2 linked regions of the Danio rerio genome follow. The protein of the gene in region 2 binds, or shares a complex with, the protein of the main gene of each other region. Links are inferred from orthologs where the notes say so. Each region holds a gene or a part of one and is shown on either strand. Other genes may lie near its edges.

Region 1 (3,880 bases), about 30 Mb from region 2:
ATTTCACTGATTTGGCAACCGTCAAACGTCATCAGGGAAATGGTTTGAATTTCCACTTAGTAAAAAAAAACATTAGTGTGCCATTTGGGACCCCACTACATACATATACTATGCTGTTGAGTGTGTAAGTGCATAAGTACATAGTGCATGAGTGCATAGTGTATAGTGTATAGTGTGCCATTTGGGACGCAGCTTATGATTTACTGAAATGTTGTAGATTCAACTTTGAATCAAAAAAATGAAAGCTTAAATGTTGTTTAAATCTGAATTACTCCAGTTGAGAGGATGCTTTAGAAATATTTGTGATAGTATGGCAAATTTAATGCCCAAGAAGCATTTTTATATCATGATACATGCTGGAAAAACAGTTGTGCAGCTTTGGTTGTGGAAACAGTGATATACTGTTAATATTGTTTGAAATGCTTTTACTGTTGCTTTGGAATGGTAGTGCAAATATGGCCATACCTTTTTCTGTTGTTGTCAGTAAAAATGTTGAATGTTGGCAAACAACTGGTCAACATAAACAAAATACCTTATTGTGGCAGATTGGGAAAAGTTTCTAAACATCTGTAATCACTGCTGTTATTTCTATATAGAGGACCAAGAGCATCATCTGACATTAATAAGTTGTGGAATTGCAAGCTAGTTCAGGGGTGCCTAAACTTGGCCCTGCAAAGTTTAGTTCCAACCCTAATAACACACACCTGGGCTAGCCAAACAAGCTCTTACTAAAGCCGCGGTTACACTGCATTTTTCACTCCATAGACTTCCATTCATACACATGAGAAGGCAGCAGACCGGAAACACAAGCCTGTGCGACATTTCACTGTGCAGTTCGCTGGATTGAAAAGGTCAAGTTTGGTAAACTCTGACCTGCAAAGTCGCATCATGTGATTGTGTGAGACCAATCGAAGATCAAAACATGACCTCTCATTATAGAAATTTAAAATATGGATCAATAGCTAATTTTTTAAAAGTCTAATCAGCTCGTTTAATCCCGGCCCTTTTGGCAAACGCCATACAACAGAATTTTGCATACTCAAACTCTACTGTGACCATGGTATTCGCTTTCTAGAAACATCTGTGCAGGTGTGTTGACTGTTGAAGCTAAAATCTGCAGGACACCGGTCCTCCAAGACAAGTTTGGGCATCCACGAGCTAGCTTTTAGTGCAGATAAGTGGTTCCCAATTCCATTCCTCGAGACCATCCGCCTTGCACATTTTGTATGTCTTCCTTACTAAAGATACCTGATTTAGATCATCAGCTCAATAATAGACATCCAAGAACTGATCCTTGTGTGACAAATAAGAGAGACATAACAAAGTTTGCAGAGCAGGAGGGGTCCCGAAGACCAGAATTGAGAAACACTGTTGTAGATTAACTTTAAGAAAAGTTGGACTGGTTTGGAAACTTCAAAACAGCATGTTTTGTTGTACAATGAAACATTTAAACCTTTGGATGCTTAATTCCTCATGGAACAAGTTGTTTAAGCAATTAAAAAAAAGACTACAGCCTCACCTGCGCAAGTAATCGTTATCTGGTGTGTCTTCAGGCATTTCCTGGTTTAAGGCTCCTTGTGATATGTTTGCAGAGCGAGAGGAGGCAGACTGTCTGTAAACACGCTCCAGTTGGCCAGTTTCCTGGTTAAAGACAAGCCCAACGGCCTGCTCCTCATGCTGACCAGTGTCAGTTCTCTGGGAAAATGGTACATGAGGCTCTGGGGTATTTGGTGTGGACTCTATGGGTCTGTGTTCCAGTAGGTGTTCATTAGATTGTGAAACTGGAGCTACGCTGTGGAAGGCAGAACTAGAAGGTTGCCATGGTGTGTTTCTCTCAGTAGATGAAGGCTGACCTGTTCTGTCCCAGCGCCGGCTACCCTGATTGTAGGTGAAAAGATTGTGGCATACTCTACAGCGGTTCATGTGACTGTGGGGAGGGTTTTCACCGCTATAGGGTGACTGGTAATGAGATGGTCCTGGTTGCTCTGGGTCCATGTTGTTGTTGAGCATTTCCTGAGTCTGCTGGTCCTGTCTGCTGCCATCAAGAGGCTGGACCGTGTCCTGCGTTCCCTCATAATCCATAAAATAGCGGTAAAGGTTACAACGCAGGACACTGTGGATGGAAGAGGAGCTGCTCTGTCCCTCTTCTTCTGGAGGACGGTGCCTGCTGGAACTAGTTCCCGGTGTGCTGCCCCATCTATCACTAGCAGAAGTGTAAACAGGTGATTGAAAGGAAGTCTCTTGCTGTCGCAGGACAGAAAGAAGGCTAACAGAGGAAGCGCCAGTTCTTTGTGGAGTCATACTACTGCTTTGTCCATTAAGTCCACTGACTGTCCAGTCTGCTCCAGGGTGACGTCCTCCACCTTCCCTACCTGGTGGATGTTGTCGGAAATGCGGGACAGGTGCCATTCCAGTCACTCCCCTCCTGCCAGAGCTGGAAGAATGATTCCGCATGTTGCTGCCTCCACCATACACGCTGCTGAATGCAGAGGAGCGATTTGCAGCACGAGACTCAACAGAAAACCGTGACATCTGCAGTGGCTCTGTGCGTGCAGAAGAAAAGGTGTGAGCTTGTGCCTCCAGGGATGCCGAGTCTGAAGGGTCCTCATCAGGTGGAGATGGAACTCGTGCTGCAGAGCAACGGCTACAAAAACACACCATTCCAAGCGGCTGAACGCACATAAGAGTGTAAGGGCCAGAAGAATCGGAGGACCCATCAGTGGAAGCAGAATGGGCACCTCCAGCCTGAGGAACAGAGTTGCGGGAAGTGAGGATGTGCAAGAAATTGTGCAAGATGGGTGTGCGCCTCGCAGGCTGGGACTGCAGGAAGGAGCGCTGTCGGAGATGAGGCATCTCCACACTGTCCATTGGAATCTCAGGATCATCATCATTCTGAAACAAACGAATACAAGCACATTTATGGTCCCGAACTTTTAAAATAAACATGGGATGTCTTATACATGTCTTAAACAACAGCAAAAAGACTAACCGGTTGGTTCGAAGGGTTTACAATGGCAGTTAGAAGATAGTGACCCAATGGATCAAATCTCACCAATCTGCAAAAAACACAGAGAAGCCTCATAAAAGCATCAGATGGACTTGCCTGTACAGTAAATGTTCATTATTAAAGATTCACACAAAAAATTTTGAAACACAACTGAAGCTATGTTTTATAACAACTGAAATTTCTGTTCATCCATTGAAAGTATATGTATGTACCAAAGATTTGGGGCTTTAATGGGATAGTTCAACCAAAACTGAAGATTTTGTCATTGTTTACTCGGCCTTTACTTGTCCCGAAGCTGTTTGAGTTGAACACAAAATTTATAAACAATTTTGGAATCCTATGATCATTGACTTACATAGTATTTGTTTTTTCCTACTATGAATGTATATGCATAGCGTACTTTAAAATTCTTCAGTATATCTTTTTTGTCGTTCAACAAAAAAGAACACTTTTCAGAACCACTTCCCTCAGGTAATCCATCTTATGAGTACTTGCTAATAGTAATTGTGAAGCAAACATCACTACTAGCTATACACTTTTTATACACATATACACTTGTTTAACAACATACTTTACATGCCAATTTGCACAGAACAGCTGCACATATACCGTTGTGTATAGTAAAATACCTGTAAAATACCTGTATACACAATCCCGTCTTTCTAATTCTGTTGCACTGTAGAAGCTCCGTCACAAAAACTAATTTCTTGAATGTGTGAACATACCAGGCAATAAAGGTCTGATTCCGATTGAGGGTTAGTACATTTTAATTTTTGGCTGAATTATTCCTTTAACAAGTTTAAATAGATTATAAAAGCAGTCCATATGAATTGAGAGATTAATCCAAGTCTTCTGAAGATTTAAGCTTTCATT
Region 2 (4,653 bases):
AGACTTCCTCTCTCTTTGCAGAGCCTCTCACTGGTTTACAATAACTGTGAGTATGGAATTAGGACAAGCAAGATGGCTCGTTCAATTGCAATAAAGAAGTCTGCCTGAAAGTAAAACACTGTGAGGGAAGGATCTTCAATGCATGACCATGATAAAGTGCTCAAAACTTTTGCAAAGTTACCGAAACAAAATAAAAGTGAGCTCAAAAGTACAAACATACCTGTCGCACAGAGGGCCACAAAGGTCTGGGCGTGTTTGCGCAGTATCTGCTTGGAGCTCTGATGTATAGGCAGTTTGGCAAGGAAGTGTTCAATGAAATCATGTGGTGTCACTGAGGCCAGATCCCACTTCAGTTTATTTAGCGCCAGCAGTTCCATTTGCTGCGAGGGAGATATAAAATGGTCCAAGTTTACATAAAGCCCCAGACGATTTTTCCATTTCAGATTTTACACTCTTTGAACGCTAGATGGAGATGTCGATTAATTGCACAATAACGCAAGGCCTACGTTCAATTAACGCACACATCAAAAGCACCAACAATTTGTAACATGTACTGTTATTTACAGATATCTGTGGGTGCCTTAACACTTTGATAAACTCATTTAGCTCGTTGTTTCATGCAATACCTTAACGTATAGGTCTTTGAGCAAAATGACCTTCAATTGCATTATTTTACTTTAATTCAGCACAAAAAAAAAAAAAAAAAGAAAACAATATCAAGCTGCTAAATTAAAGAGTATTAAACATTTACCAATAATTCGCCGGGACGGACAGAGTTGTCCGTGTATATGCACAACTTCTCTGCTGTAAGTGGCACAGTCTCTTTCATTTTTGAAGCCAGAAACATACAAGTTGCTCCTAAAAGCTGCAACCTGGTTTTTTTGGTGGGCTCCACAGATAAAAACCTGTCCAGGTAGTTCATAGCCAAAGGAAAAACTTCCTCTTCACATTTCTGCTCTTCACAGACCTTTAAAGAAAAGAAAGTGCATACGATAAATAAATATTAAGTCACAACAGCAGCTAATTCTTTTAATTAAACGTGTAGAAATATATAAATAAAAAAAAATAAAAAATAAAAATAAAAACTATTCATAGAAATTTATTAAATAAACGAAGTGCAAATATTTTTTAAGCTACAGTATGCTTTGATCTTATCGAGTTATCCCACGTGTTTAGCATCTGCTGATTCGTACACGTGCAGTGGAAAGGGTTAAATTAGAAAAAAAAGACACGTGGAAATGCTTAAAAATAGTATTTAATCAGTAATTTAAGTTTAATCCTAAGTGTTGCACAAAGTATAAATGTTACAATTTGCTTCTGATGCTAATGGTCGTTGCTTTCGAGGCAAAAAGGTGGCGTCTGAGCTCGGTTCAGGAAACAATTTTCTAGTTCGTCATCTTTTCAAAAAATATTTAAAAATATACGAAAATTGTTTTGCTTGACTTTAAACACATGTAAATGTACTGTAACTCATGCTTTATTAGATTATGCAAAAATATTTCGATTGCAATGACAAAAACTACGTGAAATGAACTGAAATCCAAAGCCCCATCATACAAAGGGAAGCATGCGACATTTAGGTGAAGCGGGTGTTTCATAAATTAATATAAATTATTCCTTAGCATTAAATCTACTGTTAAACATCTGTAAATCCACATTATTAGAGGGTTAACATAATCCGATAGGTTATAACACGATGTTGAATTCAGAAATGAAATAATACAATATTTTTAGACCGTCGTGCAGGAGGTATGACAAACTGAAACAAAACTTTTAAGACACAAATATTACGTTTTCTTGCAAAAATTTGATTTATGTTATACCTGTGATTTAAAAGACAACTTGTGAGCGCTTTTATGCAGGTGATGTCAATTATGTTTCCATTTTAGAATTTAGAGAAATAAAAAACTTAAGCAAACGACAACAAAGATGGCGTATAATAGGCTACTGGCACGAGTGAGAATGCATACGTGTACATTGGTATTAAAATAAAATAAAAATAAATAAATGTATCTATATTTTAAAATATTTATAAGAAACGAAACGCATGCATGAAAAAATAACAACCCTAAATAAAAAGGCTAAAGCGGAAAGCACGGAAAACGTCTCGTGTCGGATTAATATTTCGTAATAAAACATTTTTACGTAAAAAATAAGCAACAATAATCGGACAGCGTGTTTCTGTGTGATATTTCTGGGATGGATAAGCAATGCCGATGAACCCAAGTCACACTAAAGCATTTTTTTTCATTTAATAAATACTTCTTGGAGTCCAAAGAGCAAGAGTAGAATCATCGTGAGGCAACGTGTGTAGCAGCAAATGCAAAAAAAAAGAGATATATAAATATATTATCCAAAACAAACCTCGAGCATCCACGTCGCGACGATTTTCCTCATTTTAGGCACAATTTCTTTCTGAACACACTTGAAATAATTTGGTGATGGGAGATAGTTTTCCTCAGCTTTAAGCATTGTCTGTAAAACTCGGTCATTCAACAGGTTGCTGTCTTGGTAAGCTCTTCTTATGGTATCCACTTCGCAGCAAAACAACTGGTGCTCCATATCTTCAGTGTTTAGCAGTGAGAAAAGTAAGAAAGCTGGAGCTCGAGTCGGACACTGGTCCCGTGGATGCTTTTTGCTGCCTCTGCTGAACCCTCTAAAAGTCTCGCTGCAGCTCTCCGCTTGACAAAACTCCCCTATGACGTGACTGTTGTTAAGGGAAGATCAAAGCAGCAGCAGCGAGCCTGTGAGAGAGCGAGAGGCTGTCTGCTCAGGGCGGAGGATCAATCTAAAGAACTATCTGCTTCTCAGTTTTGGCTCCTTTCTTTAGCCCTATGGAAATAGGAGGTCCTACGCCGGGTGACGAGTGACCAAGGAGAAGCGGTGGTGGGGGTAGGCTGGGCCGGGGTGGGGGCGCAGGGGGCAGGCTGCTAGTGTCGTGGGTATCGGGGGTGGAAAAGACTGGGGTGAAGATGTGTATTGGGTTAGTATTGGTAGGGGGCAGTATAATAGCCTAAATCAAGGTGCCCACACTGTCGCATTGAAAAACTTTTGTCACTGTAATTGTACAAGCATATATCAAAAGTTTTATTTGTAAAATAAATTTGGTCACAGTCACTTGTCTGCTTTTAAAATCAGGCTTTTAAAATGTTTTTAAAAGATTTTGGATTACTTTATGAAGTTTCATATAGCTAAGTTTCTGCACAAACTTGAATGTGGTTTCAGTAGGCTATATATGAAACAAATGTGTGGTCTTGGGTGGAGGCTTGTTTTATTTTTTTGTTTCTTTTTGGGGGGTTAGACTTAAAGAAGGAAGCACAAATTAGCCTAAACCAATGGAGGAGCACGTCAGTTGCCAGGCAGAACTGCGGCACGAGCTTTTATCTAAAAAAAAACTCCTCGTGGAAATGTTAAATAAACAAAATAAATTGTTAAAATTAATCATGTGAAGCATTCTTCTTGTCGTATTTAATAATACATTTCCTTAAATCTCATTTAACTTTTTTTTTTCTCTTTGTACACCAAAACATTAAATATTTCAAATAATAAAATAATACAAACAATAAAGTAGTTATAATATTTAGACTCGGAAACAAACCGCGTTAAAAGAAAACATTAGCTCACCGGTAAAGTTTAAACACGACATCTGCAGCTTTAACAACACAAATTGTTTGATAGAGTTTGATCAAACAGGGGCGCTCTCACTTTAAAAGACCTCACTGCTGTCGCTTCAGGATGAATTGAAGCTTTACAAATTCCGCACATTCCACTTCAATACCGTAAAACAAGTAATTTGCCTGTGCCCAAAACTTCAGCTGCAGAAAGAAGCTACAATAAAGTAACAACTTTAAATGTTAATAAATGTATTATAAGCTTATTATGCTATAATAGCAGCTAAGTTACTGTATTAAGTTCTATTACTTTAAACCTTTTTGAGAACATGCATATTAAAGAAAAAATATAACTTTTATTTTTACAGAAAAGACAAAGACAAAAAACTTTAGAGTTGCAGAAATAAGCTAGAGTAAAGGAACAACTTTAAATGTTACATGGATTTAAGTGTTCTCACAAGTCATTTACATAAGCATATCAACAACACTCTGTGTATATATATATATATATATATATATATATATATATATTTATTTATTTATTATATATTTAGTAGCAAACAGGCTAGTACGTTCATTCTAAGATCAAAAGTTATTTTATTAGCATAGTATAATATTATCTTAGGCTATAATAGCAACTGTTATTAGGCTACTGTATTATTTACTATTACTTTAAACCTCTATAAGAACATGCATATAATGGAATTTTGTATTTTTTTTTTTTTTTTACAGAAAAGACAAAGACCAAAACGAGTTGCAGAGAGAAACTAGAATACAAGAAAAACTTTAAATGTTCCACTGATTTAAGTTTTTTTCCCCCACACGTCATTTTACATATAGACATATCAACAATGCTCTTTAAATATTAGGCAAATATATTAATTAATTTAATAGCAAACAGTAGTTTAGGCTGTTCATTATAAGATCAAAAATTACTTTATTAGATTACTTTAATAATATATCAGGCTATTATATGACACTGTATTACTTACCATTATTTTAAACGTCTATAAGAAATGGCATTTGAAAGAAAATAATTCTT

What was found. Proteins that work in one complex are often made in the same cells at the same time.
Region 1: the proteins of ccnd1 (region 2) and ambra1a are in contact, whole or in part, in a cryo-EM structure (PDB 9IVD), measured with the Homo sapiens proteins. The link is inferred for Danio rerio from reciprocal best matches to the Homo sapiens genes CCND1 and AMBRA1. Residues at the interface, in NP_444284.1 of Homo sapiens: Thr286, Pro287, Thr288, Asp289, Val290, Arg291, Val293, Asp294, Ile295; in NP_001354397.1 of Homo sapiens: Arg54, Ser55, Phe57, Val73, His75, Arg96, Thr97, Trp99, Leu116, Ala139, Arg184, Ile945, Asn1012, Asn1029.

The regions. Positions count from the first base shown.
Region 1 is NC_133182.1:39,567,012-39,570,891, forward strand, and holds part of ambra1a (activating molecule in BECN1-regulated autophagy protein 1A), read right to left. Parts: intron 3,057-3,880; coding exon 2,990-3,056; intron 2,893-2,989; coding exon 1,520-2,892; intron 1-1,519. UniProt on the Homo sapiens protein: Substrate-recognition component of a DCX (DDB1-CUL4-X-box) E3 ubiquitin-protein ligase complex involved in cell cycle control and autophagy.
Region 2 is NC_133182.1:69,632,119-69,636,771, forward strand, and holds the start of ccnd1 (G1/S-specific cyclin-D1), read right to left. Parts: upstream 2,842-4,653; 5' UTR 2,563-2,841; coding exon 2,365-2,562; intron 968-2,364; coding exon 752-967; intron 381-751; coding exon 221-380; intron 1-220. UniProt on the Homo sapiens protein: Regulatory component of the cyclin D1-CDK4 (DC) complex that phosphorylates and inhibits members of the retinoblastoma (RB) protein family including RB1 and regulates the cell-cycle during G(1)/S transition.